Sus scrofa: one gene and its partners. The protein of the gene in region 4 interacts with the protein of the main gene of each other region in a pairwise test. Links are inferred from orthologs where the notes say so. Each region holds a gene or a part of one and is shown on either strand. Other genes may lie near its edges.

What was found.
Region 1: the proteins of UBXN11 (region 4) and RHOBTB3 interact in binary tests that used the Homo sapiens proteins (3 or more experiments, as listed by UniProt). The two-hybrid records come from large-scale screens. The link is inferred for Sus scrofa from reciprocal best matches to the Homo sapiens genes UBXN11 and RHOBTB3.
Region 2: the proteins of UBXN11 (region 4) and EIF4E2 interact in binary tests that used the Homo sapiens proteins (3 or more experiments, as listed by UniProt). The two-hybrid records come from large-scale screens. The link is inferred for Sus scrofa from reciprocal best matches to the Homo sapiens genes UBXN11 and EIF4E2.
Region 3: the proteins of UBXN11 (region 4) and EIF4E interact in binary tests that used the Homo sapiens proteins (3 or more experiments, as listed by UniProt). The link is inferred for Sus scrofa from reciprocal best matches to the Homo sapiens genes UBXN11 and EIF4E.

Annotation. Positions count from the first base shown.
Region 1 is NC_010444.4:102,388,358-102,395,693, forward strand, and holds the end of RHOBTB3 (rho-related BTB domain-containing protein 3), read left to right. Parts: intron 1-3,868; coding exon 3,869-3,984; 3' UTR 3,985-6,777; downstream 6,778-7,336. UniProt on the Homo sapiens protein: Rab9-regulated ATPase required for endosome to Golgi transport. Involved in transport vesicle docking at the Golgi complex, possibly by participating in release M6PRBP1/TIP47 from vesicles to permit their efficient docking and fusion at the Golgi.
Region 2 is NC_010457.5:133,059,886-133,067,734, reverse strand, and holds the start of EIF4E2 (eukaryotic translation initiation factor 4E type 2), read right to left. Parts: upstream 6,536-7,849; 5' UTR 6,400-6,535; intron 4,941-6,399; 5' UTR 4,884-4,940; coding exon 4,864-4,883; intron 1-4,863. UniProt on the Homo sapiens protein: Recognizes and binds the 7-methylguanosine-containing mRNA cap during an early step in the initiation. Acts as a repressor of translation initiation.
Region 3 is NC_010450.4:121,407,418-121,415,219, reverse strand, and holds the start of EIF4E (eukaryotic translation initiation factor 4E), read right to left. Parts: upstream 5,235-7,802; 5' UTR 5,129-5,234; coding exon 4,937-5,128; intron 1-4,936. UniProt on the Homo sapiens protein: Acts in the cytoplasm to initiate and regulate protein synthesis and is required in the nucleus for export of a subset of mRNAs from the nucleus to the cytoplasm which promotes processes such as RNA capping, processing and splicing.
Region 4 is NC_010448.4:83,709,228-83,717,077, reverse strand, and holds the start of UBXN11 (UBX domain-containing protein 11), read left to right. Parts: upstream 1-2,562; 5' UTR 2,563-2,686; intron 2,687-2,695; exon of another isoform or gene 2,696-2,897; intron 2,898-7,447; exon of another isoform or gene 7,448-7,468; intron 7,469-7,850. UniProt on the Homo sapiens protein: May be involved in the reorganization of actin cytoskeleton mediated by RND1, RND2 and RND3. Promotes RHOA activation mediated by GNA12 and GNA13.

The DNA of each region.
Region 1 (7,336 bases), on a different chromosome or scaffold from region 4:
AAAAGTCAATGTAATACATTCCTTTAAGTATGCAGTATGGTAATTGAGGATACTTTAACTTATATAATAACCTATGTTATGCAAGAAATTTTCTAATGATTGTTTTACAGTTCCCATCCATTTTAAAGTACATTTAAAAATTTTTCTAAAGTAGGAGTTCCTGTTGTGGCACAGTGGTTAATGACTCCGACTAGGAACCATGAGGTTGCGGGTTTGCTCCCTGGCCTTGCTCAGTGGGTTAAGGATCCAGTGTTGCCATGAGCTGTGGTGTAGGTCGCAGACAAGGCTTGGATCCCATGTTACTATGGCTCTGGCGTAGGCTGGCGGCTACAGCTCCCATTGGACCCCTAGCCTGGGAACCTCCATATGCCACGAGAGCGGCCCAAGAAATGGAAAAAGACCAAAAAAAAATTTTTTTTTCTGAAGTAGAGAGATAGGAGTTCCCGTTGTGGCTCAGTGGTTAACGAATCCGACTAGGAACCATGAGGTTGCGGGTTCGATCCCTGCCCTTGCTCAGTGGGTTAAGGATCCATCATTGCCATGAGCTGTGGTGTAGGTCGCAGACAAGGCTCGGAACTCGAGTTGCTGTGGCTCTGGTGTAGGCTGGTGGCTACAGCTCCGATTAGACCCCTAGCAGGGAACCTCCATATGCCACAGGAGTGGCCCTAGAAAAGGCAAAAAGATAAAAAAATAAAAATAAAAAATGAAAAATAAAAAAATAAAGTAGATAAAGTGGCCTCAGATGGTGGCATTGGTTGTGATAAATGGAATTTGGTTTTAACCACCTAAGTCAGAAACAACATTTAAATAGTACAGCTTTCTAAATTTTTTTCTTGTAAGGAAAAAAATATCCCTTATAGGTCTGTTTTGCTGATATCTCCTGTTTGTATAGGAGTCTATTACATTGCTTGGCAATAATGATTCTTTATTGATCAAAGATTGTTGCAAAGTTTACTGAGCAGAGAGTATACTTAATGTGATTTTTAAAAGATAAATTAGAAAGATTAAAAGCAATCAAAGGGTGAGTTTCTGTGTGCTGTATAAGATGAAAGAAAATGAAAATAGAATAGTCATCAGAGTAGGCTGTTTAGATATGAGGGTTTGCTTGTGTTATTGCGTAGAATAGACTCAAGGAATAATCGTGTTAAAAGGAGAAGGAAATTAACCATCTCCTAGTCAAGTAGTTTCAAACTCTAAAAGGTGAAAGGAATTTCTGTTGTAGCACAGTGGAAACGAATCCAACTAGAAGCCATGAGGTTCAATCCCTGGCCTTGCTCAGTGGGTTAGTGTTGCTGTGGCTGTGGCGTAGGCCAGCAGTTGTAGCTCCAATTAGACTCCTAGCCTGGGAACTTCCATATGCCATGCATGCAGCCCAAAAAAGACAAAAGACAAAAATAATAATAATAATAAAAGGTGAAACCTCCTTGGAGATGCCAGAAGGTCTTGTGGGGTGGGGGCAGAGAGTGAAGCGGGTGCAGGAAGGAGAGGCTGATGTGTGCAGTTCCTGAACTCCTCCCCCCAACCTTCATCCAGAATAGTTCCACTTGTATCTGCTTAAATCTTAGAATTCTACTTAAAATTTTGCTTGTAAAAGAGAATCTGCTGCTAAAAGATGTGTACATCTCTGGTTTCATTCAGCTACTTGTTGTGCAGTTAAGGAAACCAAGAAACCCATAGTCAGTTCTTGGCAGACGTATTGGGAGAGTATTTAGCCAGTCAACAAACATCATATGCCTATTGGGAGCCTCTCTACATAGAATTTAACTATTGGTGCAGAGGAGTACCATAGTAAATCAAAGCAGAGTAATAGATATTTAATAGCCATTTACTTTGTGCAAGAAACGAAGTCCATTCCTAAGCCTAATGTATATTTACACTGGGTGTTAACAGGGGCATTGTTACATAGTTATTCTTTAAGGAGTCAATTAAATATGAAATAAATGAACATTTTGGGAGTTCCAGTCCTGACTCAGTGGTAACAAACCAGACTGGTATTCACGAGGACTTGGGTTCAATCCCGGTCTCACTCAGTAGATTAAGGATCTGGTATTGCTGTGAGCTGTGGTGTAGGTCGCAGACATGGCTCAGATCCCTAGTTGCTCTGTCTGTGGTATAGGCCAGCAGCTTTAGCTCTGATTCGACCCCTAGTCTGGGAACTTCCATATGCTATGGGTGCAGCCCTTAAAAAAAAAAAAAAAAAAAAAGAATAGAAATGAACATTTTGATTTTAGGGCCACTTGCGTTATGCCACCTGAAGTCACCTTCAGTTGTAAAAGAAGAGTAAGATGATTTTCCACTCACTATTTTGTGTAGATGTATGATACACATAGAGTACTATTACAGCCTTGGGAGAAAGATGCTCTGGGAATCCTTTGAGTTATTCATTTTCATTTTATCATACTATTTATGGAATTGCCTATAAGTATGTTATGACCACCTGACATAGTGAGAGGCAGGACTCCAAGGTGTAATTTGAGAAGGCAGGATAAGAAAATGAGGCAGTGTTAGTGATTCCCTTTGATGAGAATTAGAACAGTATCATGAGTGCTCTGAGTCTGCGGTGCCTGTTCATGTCCAGGACCTGCTGTGCTTGGGCAGAGGAAAAAAGTCCCTGTTGGTAAGGGAGAATGCAATAGTCTATGTCAGCAGCTACAAACCCACAGTCTGGGGGTTGAATATAACTTGTCAAGGGGTTTTATTTGGACCACATGGATTATAATTAAAAAAAAATTTTTTTTTTAAATTTTTTGGGAGTTGCCATTGTGGCTCCATAGTTAATGAATCCGACTAGTATCCATGAGAATATGGGTTTGATCCCTGGCCTCACTCCATGGGTTAAGGATCTGGTGTTGCCATGAGCTGTGGTGTAGGTCGAAGAGGTGGCTCGGATCCTGAGTTGCTGTGGCTGTGGCTGTGGCTGGCAACTTTAGCTCTGATTCTACCCCTAGCCTGGGAACTTTCATATGCCGTGGGTGCAGTCCTAAAAAGACAAAAAAAAAAAAAAAGAAAAAAGAAATATTGGGGCAGAGGATGCTCATTAAGGGAGGTATTATAAAGGAAGCCTCCAGCCTTCCACCCATATCGACGTTCTAGAATTCTGACCGCCACCCTGACTACCACTTTGACTACATAAAATTGAACCATCCTTCCCTGACCTGAGAGAAAAAACTCTATAGGTGCAGTCACTTCGACATTCTGAGGGAAATTTTCAACCTAGGATTCGATATTCAGCCAAATCACTTATCGTGTGTAAGGATACATTAAAGATGTTTCATCACAAGCAAGGTCTCAAAAATACTTCTATGCACGCCCCTGGCCTTGCCAGGAAGCTAATGAAAGTTGTGCTTCACCAAAACTAGAGAAAACAGAGTGAAGGATCTGGAGGCCAGAGGTGGAGGGAATCCCCCAGGACAGCTGGCAGCAGAGTTAGAAGGAAGCGGGTACAGGCTCAGAAGAGAGGGGTTTCCAGCGTGGCAGCAGCAAGGACAGGAAGGGCTTGGTCCTCTGATTGCTGTGGCCCCATGGAAAATAGAATGGAGAGGACTTTAAAGAGTTCGGAAGGTTGAATTAGCTACTGAGAAAACTAAATGAAAAAAGACAAAAACATGTCCCCTGTCTCCAGGGAAAACAAATCTCATTTGGGAGCAAAAAAAAAAAAAATGTAATCAAATACTACTTGATGAAGCAGTGACAAGAAGTATATAATTGTAAATCACAGACTAACTTAAATCTGGATGACTGAGAGCAGGAGAGGGAGTATGCAGCAGAGTTTGGATCTCATCTGTTAAACAGGAAACCAAGAGTTAATATTGAAACTTGATTCCAAATTAAATATATGCAATTAATATTCTTTCTCTAAAAATTTTAGTGGAAGAACGCAGTTTTGTTGAAAAGCACAGATGGCCATCGAATATGTACTTGAAGCAGCTTGCCGAATACAGGAAGTATATACACTCCCGGAAATGTCGTTGCTTAGTAATGTAACCTGGAAATCTCGTATGCATACACTTTTTCCTTTTACTATGAAGAATCGGATACTTCTGGGTTCCAGTAAAAGTCTTGTGGCAGAAACCAATGTGGGAGTTAAAAAAAAAATATCACATAGAGCTTCATGTGTTCTTAATTCTCTTTGAAAAAGCTACTGTTATGATCTTAAAAGGGAACAGAGTATATACTGTAGGCTAAAATTAAGCCCTTGAAGATGCCCTGTTGCTTTAGTGATATTAATACCCCTCCCAGTTAAGAAATATTTAATTTAAAGAAATCAAGTGGAATTAATACAGAAATTTCATCATGTTTGATTAACTGCTCGGTTAAAATAAGGGCCAATTGAAGACCCAGTGTGACTATTTCTATCATAAGAAATCTAGGAGAAGACTGATCAAGCTGAGATTTTAGAAATATAAGTCTGCCTGGGATTTTGAAAGTGAAATGGCCACTTCGTTCTAATCAGTGACAGTGTTTGAACCATCATGAAAAAAAAAAATCTAGCTTTTATATGGGCAACCGGACTGAGCCACCGTGTCGATCCTCTGGAATTCTGATTAGGCAAGAAATCTATATAGGGCTGGATTTATGGCCATGTAACCTGTGTGGTCACACAGGCCCCTTGCTCAGAAGGGCCCCATGCTTGGTTCAGTGCTTTGCGAGCTTAAAATTCTTAATAATATTTGAAGAGGGGCCCTGCATTTTCACTTTGTACTGGGCACTCCTGCCAGTTAAGTATATCTTCTAGCAGGGTATGTTTTCTTGTGCAAGCAAATGTTATTCTGTGTGAAAGCAGAAAGGAGGTGCTGACAGTAAGCAAAGAGAAGAAGGCTTGCTGAAGGAAGAGATACAGACTTTCCCATCCTTGGTGAAGTCTGTGCTTCCCAGGGCCTCCCTCCTCTGCCACCCTGACTGGCAAGTGACAAGTGCGTCCTGTTGGCTTAGCTGTAAAACGCTCATAGTTCTGGCTTTATCACAGGTGAATAGTTTCTTGATCATTCTCTAAGACTAGGATATTGGCAAAAGTGACTCACCAGTGTGACTTTGATATTCATTTACATAATCGCTCCTAGGAAAAGAGGCTTCCTGGAGAATTTGCATTCAGAGGCCTAAGAGTTTTGTTTTTGTTTTTTTTTCTTTTAATGTGTTTAGTAAGATTAAGATGCTAGTGGCTTGAATTGTGTGAATTCTTTCTGAGGACCGAAAGGTTGTTTGATGAGGAATAGCATGAGTCTTGTCCTTCAAGATAATGTAGTAAGTTAAAAGAAAGGATATAAATCCAGACTTCGTACATGTAGAAAAAATGTAGGCACTAGGATAGAAGACAGATCGTTTCTCCTGTATCATATGCCAACAGAAGTAATTATATCAGAAGCTCACAAGCTGAGAGATGAAAAACTAGATTACCATGTATTGTTAGTATCATTTTCACCTGTAATTAATAATACATTGGGATATGTTTTTCTTTTAATTTCCAATGACTTTAGAATACACATAATTTTTCTAGGTGTTCAACAGTTTGATTAAGCAGTTTTATACTATAGTATAAACATAATACTCTACACTTAGTCCTTGAATGTAACCAGCACCATCAGAGTAAAACAGTAAAAATCCTCTACAAATATCATCCAAGAAACCTGATTTCAATTGGATTGTACTAATGGAGATTACTGGAATGCCTTTTATGATTTTTGTATTTTACTCAGTTGAGTTAATCAACTATTGGCAGATCCCATTCGACAAGGATTAGCATTGGAAAAAATAAATACTGCAGTAGATTTCAAGAAATTCATTTATGTTTTAGACCTTTTAAAATACGGTGATAGTCTTGTGCTTTTCACAAGGATATTCTTACACCCACATTATTTACAGCACTTAATATTCTAAGTCAGTTACTTGTAACCTAGAAAATTGAAAAATAAAAGTTCTAAAGCAAAATATTTTCTTGAAAATAGTATTTAACATTTCAGTAGATCATAAATAGTCTTTGGGTTCTTGGTCCCAAGTGGAAGTTGGGTTTGGGAGCTGGTGCTCTGTGGTATGGAGCATGTAGTTTTTATTATGAAGGCGAGTGCCTCAAACACACGGGTATCACAGCTCTCCTGGGCTAGTCAATGCAGTAATCAAATTAGTTTTTAAACCTAGATTCTTCAATACCGTTGAATTAACTTAGTTTAAAGTTAACAAGGACATATTTTTAAAACCTTAAACACTATCTTGGAGAAATGAGTGTTCTTTTTGAGTTTTTCTAATTGAAAAATTATTTCTAGATGAATGTATGCTTTGTGCTGATCTCTGCTTCAGTATATTTACCACTCATTTTAATTAGAGTAATTACTGTATGGTAGAACTAAGGCCCTTTCTTTCTGGGCCAGGTTTTCACCTTATATAACCCTTTGTAGACTTCTGACTACTCTGTGTTTATACTGTAGGAGAGTAGGCTTATAATCTAGACGGTTCAGTAACATAGCTGAAATTCACCCTGTCTAAGCCAACATAGTGGCTTCATATTGGGCAGAAGAAGAAAAACTGAATTAGGTAAATTTGACTTCCCAGACAGCTGAACTTTTCAACTGTAATTCAAAAACTACACTACACTGATATAGTTATTTAGACACAAAAATGTCCTCAAGAGTATTTTATTTAATTTAAAGCATCTGTTGAATTCAATCTTTAATAATTTTGCAAAGATGGGTCTGTGTGTATTTTAATATAGCCTGACCTGAATTTATATGTTTTTAGTTTAGTATTTAACATTTTTGTAACAAATAAACCTTTTTTTTAAAACAAGTTTAATACAGTGTCATGTAATTATTTTACCTTGGATGTTGAATTGCTGAAGTAAATTTCGGAAAACTGCCTTGTATTTCTAAAGCATGATTGTGTTTCATGGCAAATTTCTGTTATGTGTAAAATACTTAGGATGTTGCTGATATGATAAATGTGTGAGATGTGATAAAAAAATTGATAACTACCTTTAACTGCTGGTAGCAAAATTTCTCGTAACAAAACAACTGCAATTATTTAGAAAAATGCTTTGATAATTATGTAACACAGAAGTGAACCCCTATAGGCTGGAGTATTGGCTGGGGTCAAGACTTTTGAGAAGGAAAAGCAACTCTACATGATAGAGGGTTAAGAATTTGAACTTGGGGAGTTCCTATTGTGGCTTAGTGGTAACAAATCTAACTAGTATCAGTGAAGATGGGGGTTTGATTTCTGGCCTCGCTCACTGAGTTAAGTGTCTGGCATTGCCATGAGCTGTGGTGTAGGTCACAGATGCCGCTCAGATCCCAAGTTGCTGTGGCTGTTCCAGTTGGACCCCTAGACTGGGAACTTCCATGTGCCA
Region 2 (7,849 bases), on a different chromosome or scaffold from region 4:
CTTCCATGTACTGTGGGTGTGGCCCTAAAAAGACAACAACAAAGCAAATCTAATTATTTAACTTCCACGCTTAAAACTCTCAAGTGTACCTTTCCCTTTGATGCCCACCATACAGGGTAAAGTTCAATGGAATGTAAGATCCTCCGGAAGCTGACTCCTGCCAACTGGCATCCTCTTTCCCTTCCCCTACCTCCAAAGCGACCTACCGTCCTACATCTGTGCTATGTGCAAACACTACCCCTCAGCCTAAGGCACCATTCCTCCCACATCTGTTTTTCCTACTAGATGGAAGGGGCTCTTAGGGCAGTGTCTTATTAATCCTGGTATCTTCGGCACATAGGACAAGAAGATGCTGAATGAAAAGCAAAAGAAATGAAAGAAGGAAGGTCTTCTCTCCCGCGAAGTAGTCAGATGTACTTTAGGTGCCATGTTTTAGGAGCAGAGAAAGTATCCTCAGTGCTGTGTGCCGGTTTTCTATGATTTCAAAGCTGCTTGCAACTGAAATGAAAATATTTTAATCCACTTGTTTACGACAAAGAACAAAAACTCTTTGCAGAAGTTGCTTTGACATAAGAATTAAGTGTGTTAGAATGTCATCTCATCTGCTGTTGTTGATAAGCGCTAGTAGCTCACTTGCTGAGTGGCCCTGCTGGGGCTTATCAATAAAAACAGATAAAGAAGGACCTAAGGAACTATGATGAGGGGACCTTTCCCGTCAGGGCAAAGCTACTCTCTGTGGATGCTGCTCTCTCAAGATCTTGAGGCCTTGCTCCCACAGTGGCCAAGGCTACCCTGGTTGGCAGGGAGTGGTGTTAAACCCTGCAGCAGGCTCGGGAAGAGAAGGGACATTAACTCCTGCTGAGGAAAAGGTGACTCCCTTAGCAGTCTGGGCAGCCGCACAGAGATCAGCCCGCCCATCACCTCAGGGCTCTAGGTTCCTAGGCTCGTGCTCTAGCAACCAAGGGACTTATTTCGGAGCCGGCAGCTGGACTTGAGCTCTTGGTTGGCAAGCTGTCTCATTCAATTACCAATGCACACAAAGGTTGCCTCAACAAAATCTGGGCTTTATTCATCTCCTCTTGCTAAAATGACAGTATGAGTAATCTATCGCTGGTGTGGAGTATGTTATGCTATTTACCGGTTTAATAGTACACATCTGCACACTTGGCTTGTGAAACTACTGTGTAATTCTCACAGTGAATCTGTGTTAAATTATTGGCAAAGAAAATCTCAGTCTCTGAGCATAACGTGCCGCCCCCGAAAACAAAATACTAAGGCGTTCAGTGAACCTCAAGTTCACTGGATTTAGACCAAAAGATAAATGGAAGGTGAATTCACAAGGATAGTATGAATGCTGTTTAGTTTAGAGCTGGATCATTAACTTACATGGATCTTCTCTGAAATCACCATTTTGACCCTACCCAGTCAAATCGAATTTGGCAATTCTAAGAAAATGTGCTAGAAACGGTCAAACTATAATTGAGATATGGGAATATCTCGGAGATATTGTGGATTTGGTTCCATGTCACTGCAATAAAGCAAATTATCACAATAAATCAAGTCGCATTTTTTTTGGTTTCCCAGTACACACAGTATGTTTACACTACACTGCAGTCTAATAAGAGCGCAATAAAACAATATGTTTTAAAAAAAAGGACGTATTTTGGAGTTCCCGTCGTGGCGCAGTGGTTAACGAATCCGACTAGGAACCATGAGGTCGCGGGTTCGGTCCCTGCCCTTGCTCAGTGGGTTAACGATCCGGCGTTGCCGTGAGCTGTGGTGTAGGTCGCAGACGCGGCTCGGATCCCGCGTTGCTGTGGCTCTGGCGTAGGCCGGTGGCTACAGCTCCGATTCAGCCCCTAGCCTGGGAACCCCCATATGCCGCGGGAGCGGCCCAAGAAATAGCAACAACAGCAACAACAACAACAACAGACAAAAAGAGGCAAAAAGACAAAAAAAAAAAAAAAAAAAAAAAAAAAAAAAAAAGGACGTATTTTAATTAAAAAAATCCTTTATCGATAAAAAATGCTAATGATCATCCAATAACATGGGATTTCTATAAACCTTCAATTTTTGAAAAAAAATGCAGTATCTGTGAAGGGCAGTGAAAGCAGGTTTGCCTGCATCGCCACACGGGGATGCAGAAGCGTCTGGTGCAAAGTACCCGGCCCTTTGTCTGTCTGCCCACGAATCCCAAGTGCCTACTGCATAAAAAAGTGCTCCAATGTCCAAATGGATGAGCTGGGCGCCTGCTGGGACGTCTGCTCTGCCCACTTCACTGCCCTTGGTGTAGGACACACTCTGGAGGTCACGCACCGAGACCACTGCCATCCTTACCCAGGCCAAGACATGCCTATGAAGGGCTCCTGGCCAAAGGGTAGCCCAGCCTGGCCAATAACCAATGGCTCAGGGTCTTGCTCAAAATTATGAGTCGATTCCTCCCTCAATTGTTCATCCAGGACATGAAAGATCACACCGATTCAGGAGCTGAGGCACTCATCTAAGTCTCATATAAGAAAAGCCCTGAGAAAATAAAGACAACACGCAAAGGCAGAGAAAGCCGGTAGGGGTGAAGGGCAGGGAGCAGATGGGCAGAGTGGGGAGGAAGGAGGAGGGTTCTGCTTGTGATGCTGCCATCTCCAGGGCCGAGAGCAGCCTCCCTGCCTCCTGGGAGGCCTACCTAATGGTGCTCACGACACCCCTTCCCCTTTATGAAACTTGAGCTGGGCAGGTCTCCTTCTCGGAAGGAGCCTGTCCAGCAAGCAGGTCCCCAACCTTCAGAAGCACACGGTGTGTATCAGAGACCAGAGAACACCTCCAGTGATTATTGACCACCTGCAGTCCCGACCTCACCCTGCTATGCTGTCACCTGTCTCTCCTCAGACAGCTCCTCTTGCCCACTTAACCTGTCCTCTAAGACGCAGACTAAAAGCCACCCTGTCCTGAAAATATTTCCCCATCTCTCTGAGTTGGGAGCCCCTCTTCAGAGCATCCCCACATAAATGCCTGTACTTGTCCCAGCGATGCTCATGGCCAGTTTTTTTGGTCCCCTGATTGCAAACATCTCATGAGTTTTTCTACTGCTTAGGCCCCAAACAGCTAATTCTCTTCTTTAGGGTGGACCCCAGGGGCTCAAACCACTTCTCTCTTCTCAGCTCCCAACCCCCCACCATATCCGCTGGGGTCCGCTCCTCTTCACCCCGGCTGAGGAGGGCACATCACCTAGCATCTCGCCTTCTGTCAGTCACAAGGAAAGCATGTGTCTTCCTTTCTTTTTATTGCTTTTGAGATAAACCACCATTAACAGAAAAAAAAAGAAAGAAAAACAATTTTGCCAGACAAGAAAGAATGCTATTGTGATTCTCTAGACCCCATCTCCCAACTCCCTCCTACGATTCCTAAGATAGTAAATGCAAACCCCAATGGATCTTCATCTTATGCTGCTATTTCTTGAGAGGGGAGCTAAGCAACCACTCTACACCGAGTCTATACTTAGGGCAAGTCATTTGCATCCTATCTTCCGGAGGCCATTCCTCCCAGCTTGAGGCTGGATGAGAGCAATGATAAAATCCACAGGGAAAAATCAGTGCTCCACAGCCTCAGGCAGCAATTAGTATCTAAGGCTGTCCAGACTGAGTGGCACCTAATGAGCTCACCAGGTATACCCCCGTACTCTGACTAGACAATTCACTGCAGGTAGGAACGTGGTCTAATCCATCTTTACACGTCCAGCATCAGGCAGTGGGAGAAATCACACATGTTTAGTGAATAGACTTCTTTTTTTTTAATTATTTATTTATTTATTTATTTAGTCTTTTTGCTATTTCTTGGGCCGCTCCCGCGGCATATGGAGGTTCCCAGGCTAGGGGTCGAATCGGAGCTGTAGCCACAGGCCTACGCCAGAGCCACAGCAACTCGGGATCCGAGCCGCGTCTGCAACCCACACCACAGCTCACGGCAACGCCAGATCCTTAACCCACTGAGCAAGGGCAGGGGCCGAACCCGCAACCTCATGGTTCCTAGTCGGATTCATTAACCTCTGCGCCACGATGGGAACTCCGAATGGACTTCTAAAATCAAAGCAGCACAAGGCAGAAGAGGATGCGCATCAAACAAGTTGTTCAGACAACAGTTAAGAATGAGCCAAAGCTTGGAGTTCCTCGGTGGCCTAGTGGTTAAGGATTCAGCATTGTCACTACTGTGGCTGGGGTTCAATGCCTGGCCCAGGAACTCCCACATGCGACAAACAAGGCCAAAAAAATGTTTAAAAAGGAAGAAAAAGATGAGCCAAAGCTAATGGAGAAAGAACAGGTACGAAATCAAATATGGCATCTAAATTTAAAAACCCAGCTCAATACCTTAGGGACTGAAGTACAGTGAAGGCTTCTTGGGGTTCTGCATATGAACAGGATCAAGGCCAGTGGGAGCTCAGGACTGGGGGTGGGGGGGCATTTAGGTTACGAAGCTGGAAAGTCTCACAAAAAGGGAGCCTAGAGCTCATCTTTAATCTAAACCCACCGGATTAGACTACAGTACTCAATCCAGGCACTGGATCAGGATTCTGGCAAACTGGAACACATCCTTAGGAGCCATGTGGTGAAGGGTGCAGAGGCCAAATACAAGGCAGTAGCCTAAAAACTGCACTCTTTCGCATAAAAACCAAAAACAACAAAAACAAAACTAAGGGCAGGGGTGTTGTTCTCAGGTGCTAATTAAATGGAAGACAGTTTTGCTTCCTGCAGAGCTAGAAAACAGATATTTTAAAAATCTGGCTCAGCATACAAATAGCTAATAACTAAAACTAATTAAAAACGATCAAAGTTAGTTTTCGTCAAGAGGTACTTGAACCAACATTAAACAAACCTGAGTTTGAATCCCACCATATGGCCCTTCTTGTTGCAGGCAAGTTATTTAATCTCAGAGAGTCTCGTTTTCCTTATCTATAAAGGAGGTTAACAAAATCTGCTTTAGAGGGTTGTTAGCAGACACAGAAATAATATACGAAAAGTAGCAACGCATGTGGAAGCCGTTATTGCCATTTTTCTTCTTTTTTTTTTGCTTTTTAGGGACCCATCTGTGGAATATGGACGTTCCCAGGCCAGGCATCAAATTGGAGCTGCAGCTGCAGGTCACAGCCACAGCAACTCGGGATCTGAGCTACGTCTGTGACCTACACCACAGCTCACAGCAACACCAGATCCTTAACCTGCTGAGCAGGGCCAGGGATCCAACCCGCATCCTCATGGATACTAGTTGGGTTGGTAACCTGCTGAGCCACGGTGGGAACAGTTCTGGTTAGACCACAGAGGGCCAGAGGAGGATTTAATGATGTGATCCTTGACATCTATCCAAAAATGAGGACCCACTTTTTCTTTTGATTATAAAAACAGAGCCCTCTTTCCTTTGGGACTGCACTCCCTGGCCTGCCCGCTTCTCTCTCACAAGCATCCGGTGGTAATAAATCACCCTTGTCTATCATTTTGCCTCTTGACCTGAGCTTCAGTATGTCCTGACACCAGGTGAGTGGTTTCAATTAAAAGTGGGTTTGAGGAGTTCCTGTTGTTGCTCGTCAGAAATGAATCTGACTAGCATCCATGAGGATGCAGGTTCAATTCCTGGCCTCACTCAGTGGGTTATGGATCTGGCCTTCCTGTGAACTGTGGTGTAGGTCACAGACATGGCTCGGATCTGGTGTTGCTGTGGCTGTGGTGTAGGCCAGCAGCTACAGTTCCAATTTGAACCCTAGCCTGGGAACCTCCATATGCCATGGGTGTGGCCCTAAAAAGACAATAAAAGTGGGTTTGAGTCCCCCGCTAAGCTGGGGATTGTGGATGCAAGTCCCATTCTGAGTTCTGGCTGGGTTCAAGTCCCATCCAAAAAAGAGTGTGGGGGAGTGCCTGTTGTGGCTCAGCCGAAATGAATTTGACTAGCATCCATGAGGACACAGGTTCGATCCCTGGCCTTGCTCAGTGAGTTAAGAATCTGGCATTGCCGTGAACTGTGATGTAGCTCATGGACATGGCTCGGGTCCCACATTGCTGTGGCTGTGGTGGAGGCCGGCAGCTACAGCTCCAATTTGACCCCTAGCCTGGGAACTTCCATTATGCCTGGGGTATGGCCCTAAACAAGCAAGCAAGCAAGCAAGCATTTGTTTGTTTAAATAAACCCCAAAACCAAAAAAATCAAAAAGGAATGTTGTTTCAGCAAGAGTCCGCTCAGCAACCAAGAAACATGCCTGAAGAGTTACCAGGAGGGCTGGAATCCAGGACCTCTGAATTATCCACCAGCACTCACTGTACTGGAAAAACTCAAAATTTCCCATCAGCAACAGTGAGTGGCAACCTCAACTAAGAGTAATTTCAGTTTACATTTATATCTCCCTGTCAGTTTACAAAGTACCTTAAGCACGGCTGGATGTGATCTGATCCATATCACATTCAGTGTGGCAACAGGGCACTAACCACTAATGTGGTTTGGGTAACAGTGGCTCAGAAACCGGGTAACTTTTCTGCCGTCAAATAACTGGTGACTGGTGGGTCTGGGACTGGAAATCTAGGTCTTGGGAAGAGAAGATAGAGTTACTAGCCGATTAAAAGACAGCTAAGAACATAATCTATCCCGTGATAACAATCGCTGGAGGAAAATATGCAAAAATAACTGCATTTCCTTCCTGCGCCTCCAAATTATTTGATGCTGGAACTAGAAATCGTATGAGATATGCACAGAGCTGCAAAGGAAGGGTAAAAACAAGTGAACTCGCTGGGCAAGAAACTGAGGCGCCCTTGTTTGGAGTGTGTTGGAAGACGGGGAAAGGAGGGGGAGGAGAAAGGAAGCAGGAAGGAGTCTCAGCAAGACGAGGAGAATTCCGTAACTGAGCAGCCACTGCGCTGAGCGCGGCAGCCACATTACCTCACCGCATCTTTGCAACTCTCCCACATGGGCTCTGTTACCGTGCCCACTTTGCAAGTGAGAACACAGACAGGAGACGGGACCTCGCTAGGCCACCGTGAGTGTGTGCGGAAAGCTGGATTCAGAGCCAAGGGAGACAGGCTGCGGAAACACCCAAACCACCGAGGTCTCCGCCCCTCCACGCCGCGGGCAACCTGCACCCGCCGCGCTGGGCGTCCAAAAATCCCCTTCCGGGCGGCACGGCCACCTCCTCCCCCCCCCCGCCCCGCACGTCGTCCTCGGTCCGTATGACCCTGGGACCCCCCGACACCCCGGCATCCCACGTCCCCAAACCCCCTTTCCCCGCCGGCCGCGCAGGCCGGGCCAGCCCGCAGCCCCAGCGAGGGAGGGGAGCCGGTGCCGCAGTTTGCGCCTGCCGCGGTCCCGGCGGGGGCGGGCGCGGGGAGCGGTTGGGGGAAGGGGCCCCGGGGGTCGGCCACGCGGCACTCACGCGTCGAACTTGTTGTTCATCCTCTCGCCGCCGCCGTCGCCACTGCCTCACGGAGTGACTTCCGCTCCGCCAGGTCCCTCCGCCTCGGGTCCGGCCACTTCCGGTTGCGCGGGACGCGGCGGAACGTCTTTGCGCCGGCCAGGTGGGAGCGCGTATCCCAGGACGCCGGCCCCCGGCCGCTGCGCCGCGGCGCTGGGTTTGGGGGACCCGGCGGCCTGCGGGCCTGAGCTGTGTTTCTGTTGGGTTGCCGCCGCCCGCCCTGCCCAGGGGAGCGCGTCCTGAGCCCTTCTCCGGGCAGGTTCGGAGAAATACAGCGCCGAGTCGGCGGCGGCGCAGGCTCTGGACCCATGGCTTTGGTACAGATCCCGACTCCACCCCCAGGGCGGCTGCACGGTACTGGCGATCCTGTACTGAAAGTATCCGCCTCTTCAGGTTGGCGTGTGGATTGAA
Region 3 (7,802 bases), on a different chromosome or scaffold from region 4:
ATCTGTTTCTAATTTAGACCTAAGCCTAATAATTAGGCATATTAATTCAAAGCATAAAGTGAAGTGAAATTTAAAATATAAACATCAGAACCTAACTAATTTGTTTGACTTACATATGAACTTTGATATACTGGGTTCTTTCATAATGCAAAAATATGCATATTAATTTGCAAGGTCTGCTTGTTGGCCAAAACACTGCATTATATAACATTTGTCAAATATGTATTTAAGACTTGTTTACTTTTTTTTCTTTCTTTGTCTTTTTGCCTTTTCTAGGGCCGCTTCCGTGGCATATGGAGGTTCCCAGGCTGGGGGTCAAATCGGAGCTGTAGCCGCCGGCCTACACCAGAGCCACAGCCACACGGGATCCGAGCTGAGTCTGCAACCTACACCACAGCTCACAGCGCCACTAGATCCTTAACCCACTGAGCAAGGCCAGGGATCGAACCAGCAACCTCATGGTTCCTAGTCGGATTCATGCACCAGTGTGCCATGACGGGAACTACAAGACTTATTTAATAAACTCTTTGCAATACAAAATATGTTCCTAAAGGATAAAAGGGGAAACATTAGATCAGCTGACTGTACAATTCCACTTATGAAACTAATGTACAGTTTAAAAAATTCGAGACATACAATATAAAAACAAGTAGAAACTTCAGGGTTTTTTTGTTTTGTTTTGTTTTGCTTTTTAGGGCCACACTCGCAGCATATTGAAGTTCCCAGGCTAGGGGTCAAATGGGAGCTACAGCTGCCAGCCTACCCCACAGCCACAGTAATGAGGGCTCTGAGCCACATGTGACCTATACCATAGCTCCCAGCAACGGTGGATCCCCAACACACTAAAGCCAGGAATTGAACTTGCATCCTCAGGGATACTATGTGGATTTGTTTCTGTTGTGCCACAGCATGAACACCTACTCCCTAAGTTTAACTAAAGAAACCATACATAATCTTTTACCTTTAAAAGAACTACAAGTCAAAAAAAAAAAAAAAAAAAAAAAAGCCCAATAATGAAGAATGCAACATAAAGATAAAAGCTATTAAAAACCATGACCCAAAGGAGGCAAGTTGGCCTGCCATCTTCACCAACTAATATTAAGTCTAACTTTGATCTACCCACAAAATCTAATTTTAACCTAACCACATTCAAATGCCAAAAGAATAACAGGAGAATATTGTTTATCCCAATGTTCAAAATTTTGACATATTATGGGAGTCCCCTTCGTGGCTCAGCAGTTAACGAGCCCCACCCACTAGGATCCATGAGAATGCAGGTTTGACCCCTGGCCCGGCTCAGGGGGTTAAGGATTTGGCATTGCCATGAGCTGTGGTGTAGGTTGCAGATGCGGCTCAGATCCCAAATTGCTATGGCTGTGGTGTAGGCCATCAACTATAGCTCTGATTCAACCTCTAGCCTGGGAACTTCCATATGCTGCAGGTGAGGTCCTAAAAGAGAGGAAAAAAAAAAAAAAAAAAAAACTTGCCATATTACCTGTTTAGAAGTACAGCACTTCCTTTAAATTGCCGATCAAACTTCTCAACACATTTACTATCTGCAAACCACTTCTTGTGTGTGTGTGTTGCTTTTTTAAAAATTGACGTAGGTGATTTACAGAGTTCCCATTGTGGCTCAGTGGTTAACAAACCCAACTAGGATCCATGAGGATTCGGGTTCAATCCCTAACTTCACTCAGTGGTTAAGGATCTGGTGCTGCCGTGAGCTGTGGTGTAGGTTGCAGACGTGGCTCGGGTGCTGCTGTGGCTGTGGAGTAGGCCGGTGGCTACAGCTCTGTCTGATTCCATCCATAGCCTGGCAACCTTTATATGCTGCAAGTGAGGCCCTTTAAAAAAAAAAAAAAATTTTTTTTTTGAAAGTAGTCGAGGAGTTCCCATCATGGCGCTGTGGAAACAAATTCAACTAGGAAGCATGAGGTTGTGGATTCAACCCCTGGCCTTGCTCAGTGGGTTAAGGATACAGTGTTGCCGCGAGCTTGGACAGACAAGCTTGGATCTGGCATTGCTGTGGCTGTAACTCTGATTAGACCCCTAGCCTAGGAACCTTCATATGCTGTGAGTGCAGCCCTAAAAAGCAAAAAAAAAGAAAAGCAAAAAAAAAAAAGGAGTTGATTTACAATGCTGTATTAGTTTCAGGTGTATAACAAAGCAATTCAGTTTTATATATGTGTGCATTTATTACTTTCCAGATTCTTTCTCGTTACAGGCTATTACAAGATATTGAGTATAGTTCTCTGTGCTACAGAGCAGTTCCTCGTTGTTTATCTATTTTATATATAGTAGTGTTACCTGCTAATCCCAAACTCCTAATTTACCCCTCCTCCCTTCCTTCCCCCTTTGGTAATCCAAATTTGTTTTCTATGTCTATGAGTTGATTACTATTTCATAAATAAATTCATTTGTATCATTTTTTTACATTTCATGTAAGCCATTTAACTGATCTCACAGACACTTGAGAATCACACAATATAAGTTGAAAATGATATTTAACATAATTTCCATCGATAAAAATTCCCTGAATGCCTACAAAGGTGGGACAAGCAGGAAAAAACCTGACTCTTAGGTGCTTATGATTATGTCCAGCAAAAAGTAAGGAAAGTCACAAGCTAACTCCATTAGCAATGAACAAATATGTTTTCTGTAGACTTCTACAGGGATACCGATTGCAACAAACACTAATCAGCTGCTTGAAAAAAAAAAATCTCAGTTGTTTTGTGGTGCAGGGGGTTAAGGATCCAGTGCTGTGGCCTGGTTTGCTGCCATGGCTCAGATTTGATCCCTGGCCCAGGAGATTCCACATGCTGTAGGCGCAGTCAAAATAAGTAAATAAATTAAATTAAACAAAACTCACTATTTAAAACCGTCCAAAAATAGAATTCTAAAGGACTAACCTGTGGACAAGGATGCATTAAAAAGTACTAAAATTTTGCATTTTCACTAAAAATGAACACTTAAAATTATTTTACAAGAATCCTAAAAATACTATAGTTTCAAACTGGCTTTCTATTTTATTCAAACACTAGGTTTTTAAGTTCCTCACTCCCCACATTTGAATTCAGTATTCAAATCTCCCAGGGGTCATTACTAGAAGGACTACTATACTGTATCATTCACAAGATCACTGGAAATTAAGCTCCTAGAGGTTTACATTGAACAAGGTATATAATCACATTTTGTATAACTTTGTATCCTAAAGAACACTTGGTACAAGGTTCTAAACATACAGGGGGCCATAAATATTTACTGACTCAAAACAGTTCTTCAACACTTTGTAGTTCTGTTCTCTGCTGTTGAACCAAAACAGCATAGCTTTGCAAAACCCAAATTACCTAAATGTTACTGAAACTGCACAGAATACATTATTGTTTTATTGTTTAGAGGTTTTAGCCTTGCCCCTATTACCAGCTGCAATGCTTTTTATTGAAGCTGGTACAATAGGTAGGAGAGTTCGTCCAGTTAGAAATAGATGTCACAACTCATTAAAAGGGACTTAACTAAAATTTTACAAATATATCTTTTATCTATTTAACATTAATGTTCTAAAAACCAGTTAACTGTACCAGCAACTTAAGAGTTTTGTAGTCCATCTAATTTTCAGGAATATAAATAAAAATCGGTACCAATAAAAATACAAGGGAGTTCCCACTTGTGACAAAGTAGGTTAAGAATCCCAATGCAGTGGCTGGGATTGCTGCGGAGATGCAGGTTCAATGCCCAGCCCGAAACAGTGGGTTAAAGGATCCCGGTTAAAGGATCCAGCGTAGGCGTAGCCGCAACTGCATCTTAGGTCCAGCTGTGGCTCGGATTCAACCCCTGGCCTGGGAACTTCCATATGCCTCGAGTGCGGCCATACATACAATTTTCAAAAATAAATAAATAAACAAATGAATAAATAATAAATATAAGTACAAATGACCAAGCAGAAAAACTGCCTTAAATTCGGGCAACAAGGAAAGGATAATTAACATCAATGTAACTGAAAAATAAGCATTTTTGTATCCTATAGATCTTTTTATAACTAGTTTTTTTTTTTAATTATAAAAGTCTTCAAAGAAAAGTCAAAGCAAATTGGGACGCCATCATCAAAATCACGAACTACCATTAAAGATTCACAAAATTATCGGGCAACCAAGGTCTAGTACAGTTCCAGAGTATCAAACGTTTTCTGGCTACACACCTCTAAAACAGAATCACTTGTATGTGACATTCCTAAAACGGCAACACAGGCCTAGAAGTTTCCGTGAGTCAGTGCCGGCAAACCCAAACTATGACAAACATACTCTCTCCTTTGGGCGGTAACTATCAACTTTGTGCTCTGGGATCAGCCTGCTTAAAATAAGTTTAAGATGGTGCCTGAACTGGGAAGAAAGCCAGGAGAACGGATAAAGAAAAAAAATCAAACAGAAACCTAACTTTAAAAGTTAAGTTAAACAGTGTCTGAGAACTCTTCCAGAGGATAAAGCCGCGGAAGAACAGATGGATCTACACCCATTCGCACTCTCTGAGGCGTGCGCACAGCGCGGAAAGGATGAATGAATGGAAGACAGGCGCGTGTGAAATGCCGCAGGTCCGGCCGGCAAGCCGACCAGCCCCAGCAGCTATCAGCAGGCCTCGCTCCTCCCCCTTCCCTCCTCCATGACAGCCCAGGCTCAAGCATGGAGGGGCGAGGACAATGTGATCCCCCTTCCAACCACCAGCACCCTTCACCCTACTCTCAGAGCTTTACCGCGCCACCAAGGGTTCTCCTCCCCACCCCGAAACCTTTCTCGCCTCCCGGGTCGCCAACCCCGACAACTCTCGGACATGCTGGAGTAACATGCGCTCGCCCCTCTCGGCTCCCCTCGGCGAGGAAGAACCTTCTCCGCGCGTGCCGCGGCACCACTCCCGCCCAACCCACCCCGTGGCACCGCGCGCTCACCGGCTCCCTGGCCCACCGGTCTAAGAAATCCCGGCGCGCGCCCGGAACCCAAGCCCCTGAGCCAGAGCTCGGGAGGGAGAGAGGGAAAGGCTGCTCCGAGGCTCCCTCCTCCATCTCATTCCAGGCCGGCTCGCCGCCCACCGTCCCTGCGAATCCTGGCGCTCGTTCGGAGCCGGGCCCGCGCCTTCCCATCGCAAAGGCACGATTCCCACACACCTCGCCCAGAGGCCGGATCACGCACCACCCTTATAGACACCTTGCGGCTCCACAGGGGGAGCCGCGCCGCCCCTCCCCCACATCTCTCCCCTAGCTCGCGGGCCCCCACCAGAACGTGTGCTCTACACGCCGTGGCGGCCAGCCTCCGGGGCGCCCCCAATTGTCCGCAGGGAGGTCAGGCCAAAGAAGAGGGGGAGGGGGCGGCAAGGGGTAGCGTGCGCGCTGGGAACGCCGTCCCGCGGGATCCTTCAGTCCGAAAGGAGACGGAGCGCGGGGACCGGTGGGGGTGGGGGCCAAAGGCAATACTCACCGGTTCCACAGTCGCCATCTTAGATCGATCTGATCGCACAACCGCTCCTGAAGGGAGGGGGTGAGAGGAAAAAAATGAGATTCAAACCGGATTGGCCGGCTACTGTTCACGTGACGGACGTGTCCGTTTGGCCCTGGCGGCGCCTGCGCAAGACTGCAGCTGCGTGTTTAACAAGAGGCTTCTGGGAAGTGGAGTCGCTCTCTCGGTGGCTCGCTCTCCCTGTCTCTTTTTTTTAGGCTAGGAAGTTTAAAAAAAAAAAAAAAAAAAAGACTGGTCACGTGGCCGGTGGGTACCGTGCGCGGTTCTCGGCGCAGCGGACACTCGCGTGCTGGAGGGTGGCTTTCAGTCCTCTGCTCTTCCGCCTGGGTAGTTGCTGTCGCACTCACTGCCAGGCATGCCTCCTGTGCCCTTTGTCGCCCTGTCCTCCCATCTTCCTCGGAAGGTTGGGAACTGTAGGCTCAACACGCACAATAAGGCTTCATTTGCTTAGTTGAGGTCCTAGGACAAGTTGCCTGTGTGTTTATTTAATTTTCTTTTGACTTCCCACCATTTTCTCTTAGTTCCAAAAAGAGGCGGCGAGGGAAAATCGTTAAGCAATCAACCCTCCCCCGTCCCCCGGCTCCGCTAACGCTGGTGGTCACTCATTGCCATCACTGCGAAAGGGAGTGGCGGAACCGCCCACAGTAACCACTTGCCACAGTTCGGGGGAGGGGGAGTGCACCCGACAGCTTTTCGTGTTCCAACTCCTGAGATTAAAATCTCAGGGCTAAATCTTGCGTGGAAGTAAAAATTATCTGAAGTTCTGTCCTCTCGATTGCACTGTTCTGCTTCGACGTGAAGGGAAATAGCCCAAGTCCAGGTGCCAGCCAGGGAAGCCACTCCGGCCCCCGCTGACTAAGCCCTGGACTGACCGTCAGGAGTCGTTAGGCTGGGTCAACTATGACTCTTGACGTTGACTCATTCTCCTTAGGCAAGTGACTTAATCATTCAGTGCCTCAGCTTTTTCATTTATGAACCACAGATGGTAATACACTTACCTCACAAGGGTATGCTGTGGTAATGATTGTAACCAGCTTTGAAAATGCATCAGACTCTATAAATGCTTCATAATAAGCAACCTCGTGCCTTCGTAAGGATCAGCTGCTTCCCTTACTGTTCTTTAAACAATGTTTTAAATTTTTCTTTTGCTTATGTTGTTACATTATCATGTACACCAATGCAATTTTAAAAGTTTCGAGACAATGTTTTTATAACTAGCTACCCTCCATAGAGGCTTTAATGTTTAGGAAAATATTGTTATAATCACTGGCAATTAGAGGTTTATCCCCAGAGTGACATCCGACGTTTTCTTCCCCGCTAAGATACTGTGCTGTCATTTCTTTCTTTTTTTCTTTTTTTTGCTTGTGCTGTCATTTCTGAAGACAGTCTTACTCTGCACAGTCTGGTTATCCATATAAAAAAACAGAAGAAATCTAGCAGAGTGCTACTGCAAGATTTTAATGAGGAAGATATTATATCATTACTATTTCCCATGCTTCTTAAGAATGTTAACACCAGAAAAATCAGTATAATCAGGCTACCTGTGCCTGCCTGCTTTAGTGCTGCTGATGTCCAGAGCTGTGTCATACCTATTATTGAGTACATAATGGTTGCTTGAGTTGACTAACACATAATTGAGACTGTAATAAGAGCTCAAAACCATTTCCTGCTCATATGCTTTGGTTTACCTGGATGTCAGAGATGATTAATGAAAGCTTTGGTCCAGTCAGCTTAGCTCTAGTAGGTTTAAAGTAATAGAGTTCTAAAAAATAAAATAAAACAAATTGGATAAAGAGGTTTCTATTTGCAGAGACTATGTGCTCTTAATTAAACTATCCAAAGTAATTATAGGCAATCCCAGTGATATCTTCTGTTAGTTAAAAGTAGTATCTGATGGGAGTTCCTGTTGTGGCGCAGTGGAAGTGAAACCGACTAGGAACCATGAGGTTGTCAGTTCCATCCCTGGCCCCACTCAGTGGGTTAAGGATCTGGCCGTGCTGTGAGCTGTGGTGTAGGTTGCAGACTCGGCTTGGATCTGATGTTGCTATGGCTGTGGTGTAAGCCGGCAGCTGTAGCTCCAGGTGGACCCCTGGCCTGGGAATCTCCATATGCTGTGGGTGCCATCCTAAAAAAAAAAAAAGTAGTATCTCAATATCTTTGAGGAGATAATATAGATGTATTATTTTCCCAATGCTGCTAGATAACAGATTTAAAATTTAAAAACACTTCAATCTCTATATGGGACTGAAAACCACTGATATTCTCAAACTTTAATGATAGCTCCCATTTTATTAACTCTCT
Region 4 (7,850 bases):
GGGGGTGGGGTTGGGGTGGGGGAATAGAGACCTCCAGAACTCTCTAACTCCAGGCCTGGGGTCTACTTCCTCACACCACAGGTGGGGAACAAGGAGTTCCCATTGTGGCTCAGCAAAAACGAATCTGACTAAGAACCATGAGGACTCAGGTTCGATCCCTGGCCTTGCTCAGTGGGTTAAGGATCTGGCGTTGCTGTGAGCTGCTGTGGCTGTGGCATAGGCTGGTGGCTAAGACTTTCCATCTGCAGCAGGTGCGGCCCTAAAAAAAATAAAATTGAATAAAAAAAGGCACAGGTGGGGAATAGGCCCAGAAAGAGCCTCCCTCCTGTCATTCAGCACCTTCCCACCATCGTCAGGCAGTGGAATCAAGAAGAAGCCAACTGGCGGCCATCTGGGAAGTCCAGAGGGGATCCTGGGTGAGCTTGGAAGCTGGACAGATTGTCCTCCACCATCCTTCCAACACTCAAATCTTATGTGAACCTGGAGACCTTAGAAAAATTTCCAGAACCATCTAAGATGGGAGATAGAAAAATATAAGTCAGAAAAATAACTATTAGGTGAATTTAGACTCTTGTTTCACTTTTGTAACTTTTTGTTTTTGGTAAACACCTTTTCCAAAACAATAATACAACAGTGTTACAAGAAATTTAATTTGGACAGTAAGCCTACTGGGTTCAATTAGTATCTCTCTTTTCCAGATACAGAAATTAAGGCTCAGTGGAGTATCTGGAGCAGAAACAGCCAGCTAGTAAGTGACAGAGCCCAGCCCCACAGACTTTAAATTATGCTGACCCAGAATGTAGTCTCAGTAAGTCATGGCTATTATTATTTTCCAAGTTTCTATGATGAAAATGTACACTATCATTTTCATAATACAGCTCTGACTTTTCCTAATAAATGTTATTTTAAAAATAAACTGCCTGCTAGGTTAGAGGATTCCTGCCTCTCTCACAGGAACTAGATTTTTGTTGCATGTCAGCCTACTGCAGAATCTCAGGCCAGGCTCCCAGCTCTGGGTAGGAGGAAGCTATGTTGTAAATCCTGGTGCTTGGGTAAATGCCAGTTCACTCCCCAGTCTTGCTGAGGTGGGAGGCAGTCGAAGGAGCACCACAGGGCCCATGAGACCAGAGCCCCCTGCTTCCCCTGCTGTTGGTTCTTGTTTACCTTCAAGAGCAGAAGGAACAGGAGCAAGGTGACAGTGTAAGATTGCCAATCCCCTGACTATGGCTCCAGCCTCCCCAAACAGTTGGCCTAGCATGACCTCAAACTTTCTCATCTCATATATATCAGGCCTCAGAGAACTTTCTGGGAGAAGCTCAGTGGCAAGAGAGCTTTCAGTCACACCTTCCACTTGAACTGTTCCCCTGGCCATGGACCTGAACCACCTGTACCCTGGCTTATTTTTGCTTGCATGTTTTACTTAAGTGGGAGCTTCTAGAAAGAGCACAGATTCTGGAGGCAGAGAGTCTAGATTAGCATCGACTTTTGCTGCTTTCTACCTGTATGGTCTTGAACAAGTCACTTCACTTCTCTGAGCTTCAGTCTTCTCTGCTGTAAAGTTCATAATGCTGACAGTGGGCACTTGAAAGACACTCATTAATTGGTAGTTCCCCTCCTTCTCCAATTGGTGTGTAAAGAATGCCTCAAGGAGCCTGCTCTCTCCTAAATGCAGTAGATTAGAGTCAAATGGAAAATACTACGTGTGGTTGAGACATGCAGAAAAAGGGCTTTGGTAGCTGAGCCAAGGCATAGACTCTCAGAGTATCACAGGTGGAAGGTTGTGAGATAACGGTAGTTAAAAGCAGGAAATGTTTTGAAAGCTTACTCTGTATAGCTATTGTGACAGGCACTCTGCATACATTATTTCATTTAATTCTCACACAACCCTATAGGGGTGGGTATTCTCCCCATTTTACAGAAGAAATTAAGGTGAATAACTTGCCCCAGGACGCACAAGTCAGGGGCCTGGACTCCAAAGGCCAAAGTCCATGCTCTTAACTAAATCACCTTTTGTTGCTCTAATCCAATACCTTATTTTTTTCATGTGAGGCTCAGGAGGGGAAATGTCTCACCCAAAGTCACAAAAAGAAAAAAGTGTTTTATCCGAAGGCAGGGGGAATCTTACCTGAATTTTTACACAAAGGAAATAGAATCTGAGCGCCCCTTTAGGGCACCATTTGGTCAAGAAGTTAACAGAGGTTTTCAGATTTAAGAAACATTTATTAACTACTTGCATCATGTCAATTCATACTCCAAAGAACTCCCCCTTAGCACTGTACTGATCAGACGAGAAAACAGAGAAACGTAATTTCTCCCCAAATCAATTTAGCAAAACAACATTGTCGGGATTACAGCTATGGATCCAGCGACTTCTAATGGCTTCGTGAATCCAACCCCAGGCCCTCCACTTTCAGTGCCTTGGGGTGGTAACAAATAGACCCTCCGTTCCCCCAAACCCAGAGTCCGCGCAGAGCGGTGGATTCTGGGATTTGCATGTATCCCGCGAGGAGTTTAGACTCTGTGGGCCAATAGAATTCGAGTACAGAAGGCTGTACCCTCCTCCGCTGCCTGCTGGTTGCTCAGGACCCCACGTATTAGCCAATGAGAAGTGCACTGGTCCTGGTTGCCTGGGAAACCGCGTGACAACAAGATGGCGGCGCCGCGGGGGGCTCGGCCGACCTGCGTGGTGAGTTCCAGCCCCGGACCTTTCTGCCCGCAGAGCCCCCAACGCAGGCTGGGGCCCTAGCACAGAGAGCCTCGAGGACAAGCGAGCCCGGCGGATCAGCGGGCCCTCAGCGTTCTGGGAGCAGATTAGGCCCCCGCCTACTTTGGCAGCGCGTGGAGGGGGGAGGTGGCGACGCGGCTCCCTGGGCGGAGCTGGTGGTAGAAGTTGCTAGGTGAGCGCTTCCAGCTGGAGATTTGGGGAATGAAGGCGTGCAGCTGGCTGGTCTGTGTTGGCGCTGTAGAGCACAGAGGCCCGTGGAGGGACAAATTTGGGTCCCCAAAATAAAGAGGCGTAATACAAAGCCCAAATTTTAGCCGCCCCAAAGTGAAGGCAATAGTGGTGGCTCTGTCCTCAGGGTCCCCAGTCTGAGGGAAAAGACACAGCCCTGCGCTCAGGAGCCCCCAGGCTGATGGGAGGATACAGTTGTCATCCGTAGGGGTCCTCTATAATCCATGGGGAAATCGATCCGGAGTCAGTGTGTTGGGCTAGAGTGAGACTGGAAACTGGGAAGTCAGTTTGGGGCCATTGTGACAGTCCCAGAGAAGGGCAGTGAGAGCCCCACTCTAGGATGGCCAACAGTGGCCATGGAAAAAAAAGGAGCTATGTATGAGAGAAATGCAGAGTTTACCCTGCAGGGGTAGGATAGAATTAAGAGGGAAAAGAGTCAAATTTTTGCCTCTCATTAAGAAGGAGAACGTGGTGGAGTTCCTGTCGTGGCACAGCAGAAACGAACCCGACTAGGAACCATGAGGTTGTGGGTTCGATCCCTGGCTTCGCTCAGTGGGTTAAGGATCTGGCATTGCTATGAGCTGTGGTGTAGATTGCAGACGCGGCTGGGATCTGGCGTTGCTGTGGCCCTGGGGTAGGCCGGCAGCAACAGCTCGGGTTAGACCCCTACCTGCGAATCTCCATATGCCCCAGAGTGTGGCCCTAAAAGGACAAAAGCCAAAAAAAAAAAAAAAAAAAAAAGCAGGAGGAAGTGGGAGGAATTTATGTTGAGGGAAGATATGGGTTTGGCTTGGAGGCCAGGTCCCTTTTTTTTCCTGTGATAGCTTTATTGAGATATGTCACATACTATATACTTCACCCTTTTAAAATGTAAATTTCAGTTGTTTTTAGTATATTCATAGAATTGTGCAGCCATCACCACAGTCAATTTTAGAACATTTTCATCAGGAGTTCCCGTCGTGGCGCAGTGGTTAACGAATCCGACTAGGAACCATGAGGTTGCGGGTTCGGTCCCTGCCCTTGCTCAGTGGGTTAAGGATCGGCGTTGCCGTGAGCTGTGGTGTAGGTTGCAGATGCGGCTCGGATCCCACGTTGCTGTGGCTCTGGCGTAGGCCAGTGGCTACAGCTCCGATTCGACCCCTAGCCTGGGAACCTCCATATGCCGCAGGAGCGGCCCAAGAAATAGCAAAAAGACAAAAAAAAAAAAGAACATTTTCATCAGTTCCAAAGGAAACCCTATACTCTTCAGCAGTCCACACACACACATGCACACCCCACCTCTCCTTAGCACTTCCAACCCTAGGCAACCTCTAATCTATTTTGTGTCTATAGGTTTGTTCACTCTGGATCTTTAATATAAATGGAATCGTAACAATTAGTGGTCTTTTGTGATGGACTTCTTTCCCTTAGCATATGTTTTCAAGGTCCATTCATACTGTAGCATAGATTTCATCCCTTTTTCTTTTTTTCTTTTTTTTTTCTTTCCTTTTTCTAAAAGGGCCGCTCCCACGGCATATGGAGGTTTCCAGGCTAGGGGTCTAATCTGAGCTGTAGCCGTGCTGGCCTACGCCAGAGCCACAGCAACTCGGGATCCAAGCTGCGTCTGCAACCTATACCACAGCTCACAGCAACGCCGGATCCTTAACCCACTGAGTGAGGCCAGGGATCGAACCCGAAACCTCATGGTTCCTAGTCGAATTCGTTAACCACTGAGCCACGACGGGAACTCCTCATCCCTTTTTCATTGCCAGATAGTATTCCATTGCAAGGATATATCACATTTGTTCATTCATTGGTTGATGAACACTTGGGGTTGTTTCCAGCATTATGAATAATGCTACTTATTGAACTGATATACAAATTTTTGTGTGGATGTACGTTTTTATTTCTCTTGGGTATATACCTGGGGTGTGGAATTGCTGAGCCACAAGATAACTGTGTTTAACCTTTAGAGGAACTGCCAAACAGCAGCCGTGCCATTTTATATTCAAACAAAGTTTCCAGTTTCCCTGCTCATCCTTGCCAGTGTTGGTTAATATCTGTTTTTTTGACTAGTTTCTTTTGAGGGGTCATTATGGTGACTAGAATTTAGAGAAGAGAAAGATAATCAGGTCTGGTGAAAGTTCATGCAGGGCAGTCTCAGCCACTAAAGGCCCAGTGCCTGAGACTTGAGTGTGGTGATTGTGATGGGGGTTTCATGACTCGGAATACACTAAGGACCAGTGAATTATATACTTTAAAAGAGTTGGAATCCCTGCTGTGGTACAGTGGGTTAAGAATCCAACCATAGTGGCTCAGGATGTGGCCATTAAAAAAAAAAAAAGAGTTAAGTATGTGAATTATACTTCAATAAAGTTGGGGGTTTCTTGCATTTTTTATTTTTATTTTTTACCTTAAAGTATAGTTGATTTACAATATTGTGCCAATTACTAGTGTTTAGCAAAGTGACTCAGTTATACATGCATATCCCAGGAGATTGGGTATAGTTTCATGTGTTGTACAGTAAGACCTTGCTGTTTATCCATCTAAATGGAATAGTTTGCATCTACTAATACCACAATCCCTCTCCATCCCACTTCCTCCCCCCACCCCCTTGGCAACCACAAGTCTGTTCTCTATATCTGTGAGTCTGTTTGTTCTATAGATAGATTCATTTGTGCCTTATTTATTTATTTATTTATTTTTGCTTTTTTTAGGGCTGTCCCTGTGGCATATGGAATTTCCCAGACTAGGGGTCAAATCAGAGCTATAGCTGCTAGCCTACACCGCAGCCACAGCAACACCAGATCTGAGCTGTGTCTGCAACCTACACCATAGCTTAACGGCAATGCTGGGTCCTTTTGCCTACTGAGCAAGGCCAGGGATCCAACCCACATCCTCATGGATACTAGTCAGGCTCGTTACCGCTGAGCCAGAACAGAAGCTTCCTCTGCCGTATTATAGATTCCACATGTAAGTGTATCATGTATTTGTCCTCTTTCTGGTTTTACTTAGTGTGATAATCTCTCATTGCATTCTCATTACTGCAAATGACATTATTTTGTTCTTTTTTATGGCTAGGTAGTATTCCATTGTATATATGTACCACATCTTAATCCATTTGTCTGTTGATGGACTTTTGGTTTGTTTCCATGTCTTGGCTATCATGAATAGTGCTGCAGTGAACATAGGGGTGCAACATAGTTTTGTCCACATATATCCCCAGGAGTGGGATTTCTGGATCAATAAATCTGTTTTTTTTTTTTTTTTTTTTTGCCACACCCAAGGCATATGAAAGTTCCCTGGCCAGAGATCAAACCCACACTGCAGCTGTTACCTGCACCACAGCTATGGCAACACCAGATCCTTAACCTGCTGTTCCATAGGGGAACTTCCAATAAAGCTGTTTTTTAAACACATGGATTTCCCTGGTGGCTCAGTGGGTTAAGGATCTGGCATTGTCCCTCCTGTAGTATGAGTTCAGTTCCTGGCCTGGGAAATTCCATATGCCTCAGGTGTAGCCAGAAAAACAAAACAAAACAAAACAAAAAAACTGGGGGAAAAAAAAAGGAGTTAGCCAGTCAGGGGAAGGTTATAGGTGGGAGTAGGGAGACCTTTTTGTGGGGGCAGCTTCCAGGCCTGGCGAGATACGCGTGCAAAGATCTGGTGCACTTCAGGGCTGACAGTTCAGAGTGGCTCGAGGGTAGGGTGGGGTCCAGCGACACAGGCTGGGACCAGATGATCCATGTTAAGGAATTTTGAATTTTTTTTCCGTGGGTGTGAAGGAGCCACTGGGAGTATTTAGCAGGCAAGTGACATGTCAGCTTTGTGTTTAAGATCCCTCTAGAAGCGTGTGGAGACTGGCGAAGGGAACCACAGGGGCTGTCTTGCAGGTTCACATGAACCCTGAGATGGCAGGAACGAGGCAGGGCGGGGGCAGTTTGGGGAGGCTGGATGCTGGAGGACAGGGGTGAGGAAGCTCTGGGCCTGATCCTTGGCTGCACCTCTGGAGAAGGCGTGGGGCACGCGTCCCAAACTCTAGAATGAAGACGGGAAAGCTGCCTCCTGGCAGCCCAGGTGCCCTTGCTGGGCAAATTCAGAGGCAGGGTAGAGACCAGTGCCACGCATTTCCAAAGTGGAACAGAAGACTCCATTCAGGAGATCCTGCTGTGATGCAACAAGATCAATGTCTTGGGTGCCTGGGATGTTGGTTTGTTCCTCTATGGGTCACAGTGGGTTAAGAATCCAGCGTTGCAGCAGCTGCAGCTTGGGTGGTGACTGTGGCTTGGATCTGATCCATGGCTCGCGAATTCCATATGCTTCGGAGCAGCCAAAAAAGAAAAAAAAAAAAAAAAAAGAGAGAGAGAGAGAGAGACTTGATTCAGGCCCTGATAGAAATCCTTTGAGTCTAAGGTTTCTAGATATTAGCCACATAATATACCTAATTCACTGAAGAGAGCAGTGGCCTTTAACTGCATCCCCAATGTAACATTCATCTTTCCAGAAGGAAGAAGAAAGGAAGGGAAACCAGCATTTGTAAGTGCCTTCTGTGTGCCAATAACAGCCATGGTTCACATTTTAAAAAAAATTTTATTGGAATATAGTTGCTTTACAATGTTGTGCCAATTTCTTCTGTACAGCAAAGTGACGCAGTCCTATATATATGCCAAGTCCCCCTTGGCAACCACAAGTCTGTTCTCTATGTCTGACAAGTCAGTTTCAAGTACTCCCTTTGAGCGTGACACTGGCCTAGGTGCTTTATGTGTGTTAACACTACCTGGCTGGTCCTGTTTTCATTTCCCCTTTACAGTAGAGGAAACTGAGACCCAGGCCACGCTAGTGGATGGCAGAACCCATCCAGAGCCTGGACTCTTGACCTCCCTTCCATGTAGATGGTTGTCTTGGTGGAATCCTGCCT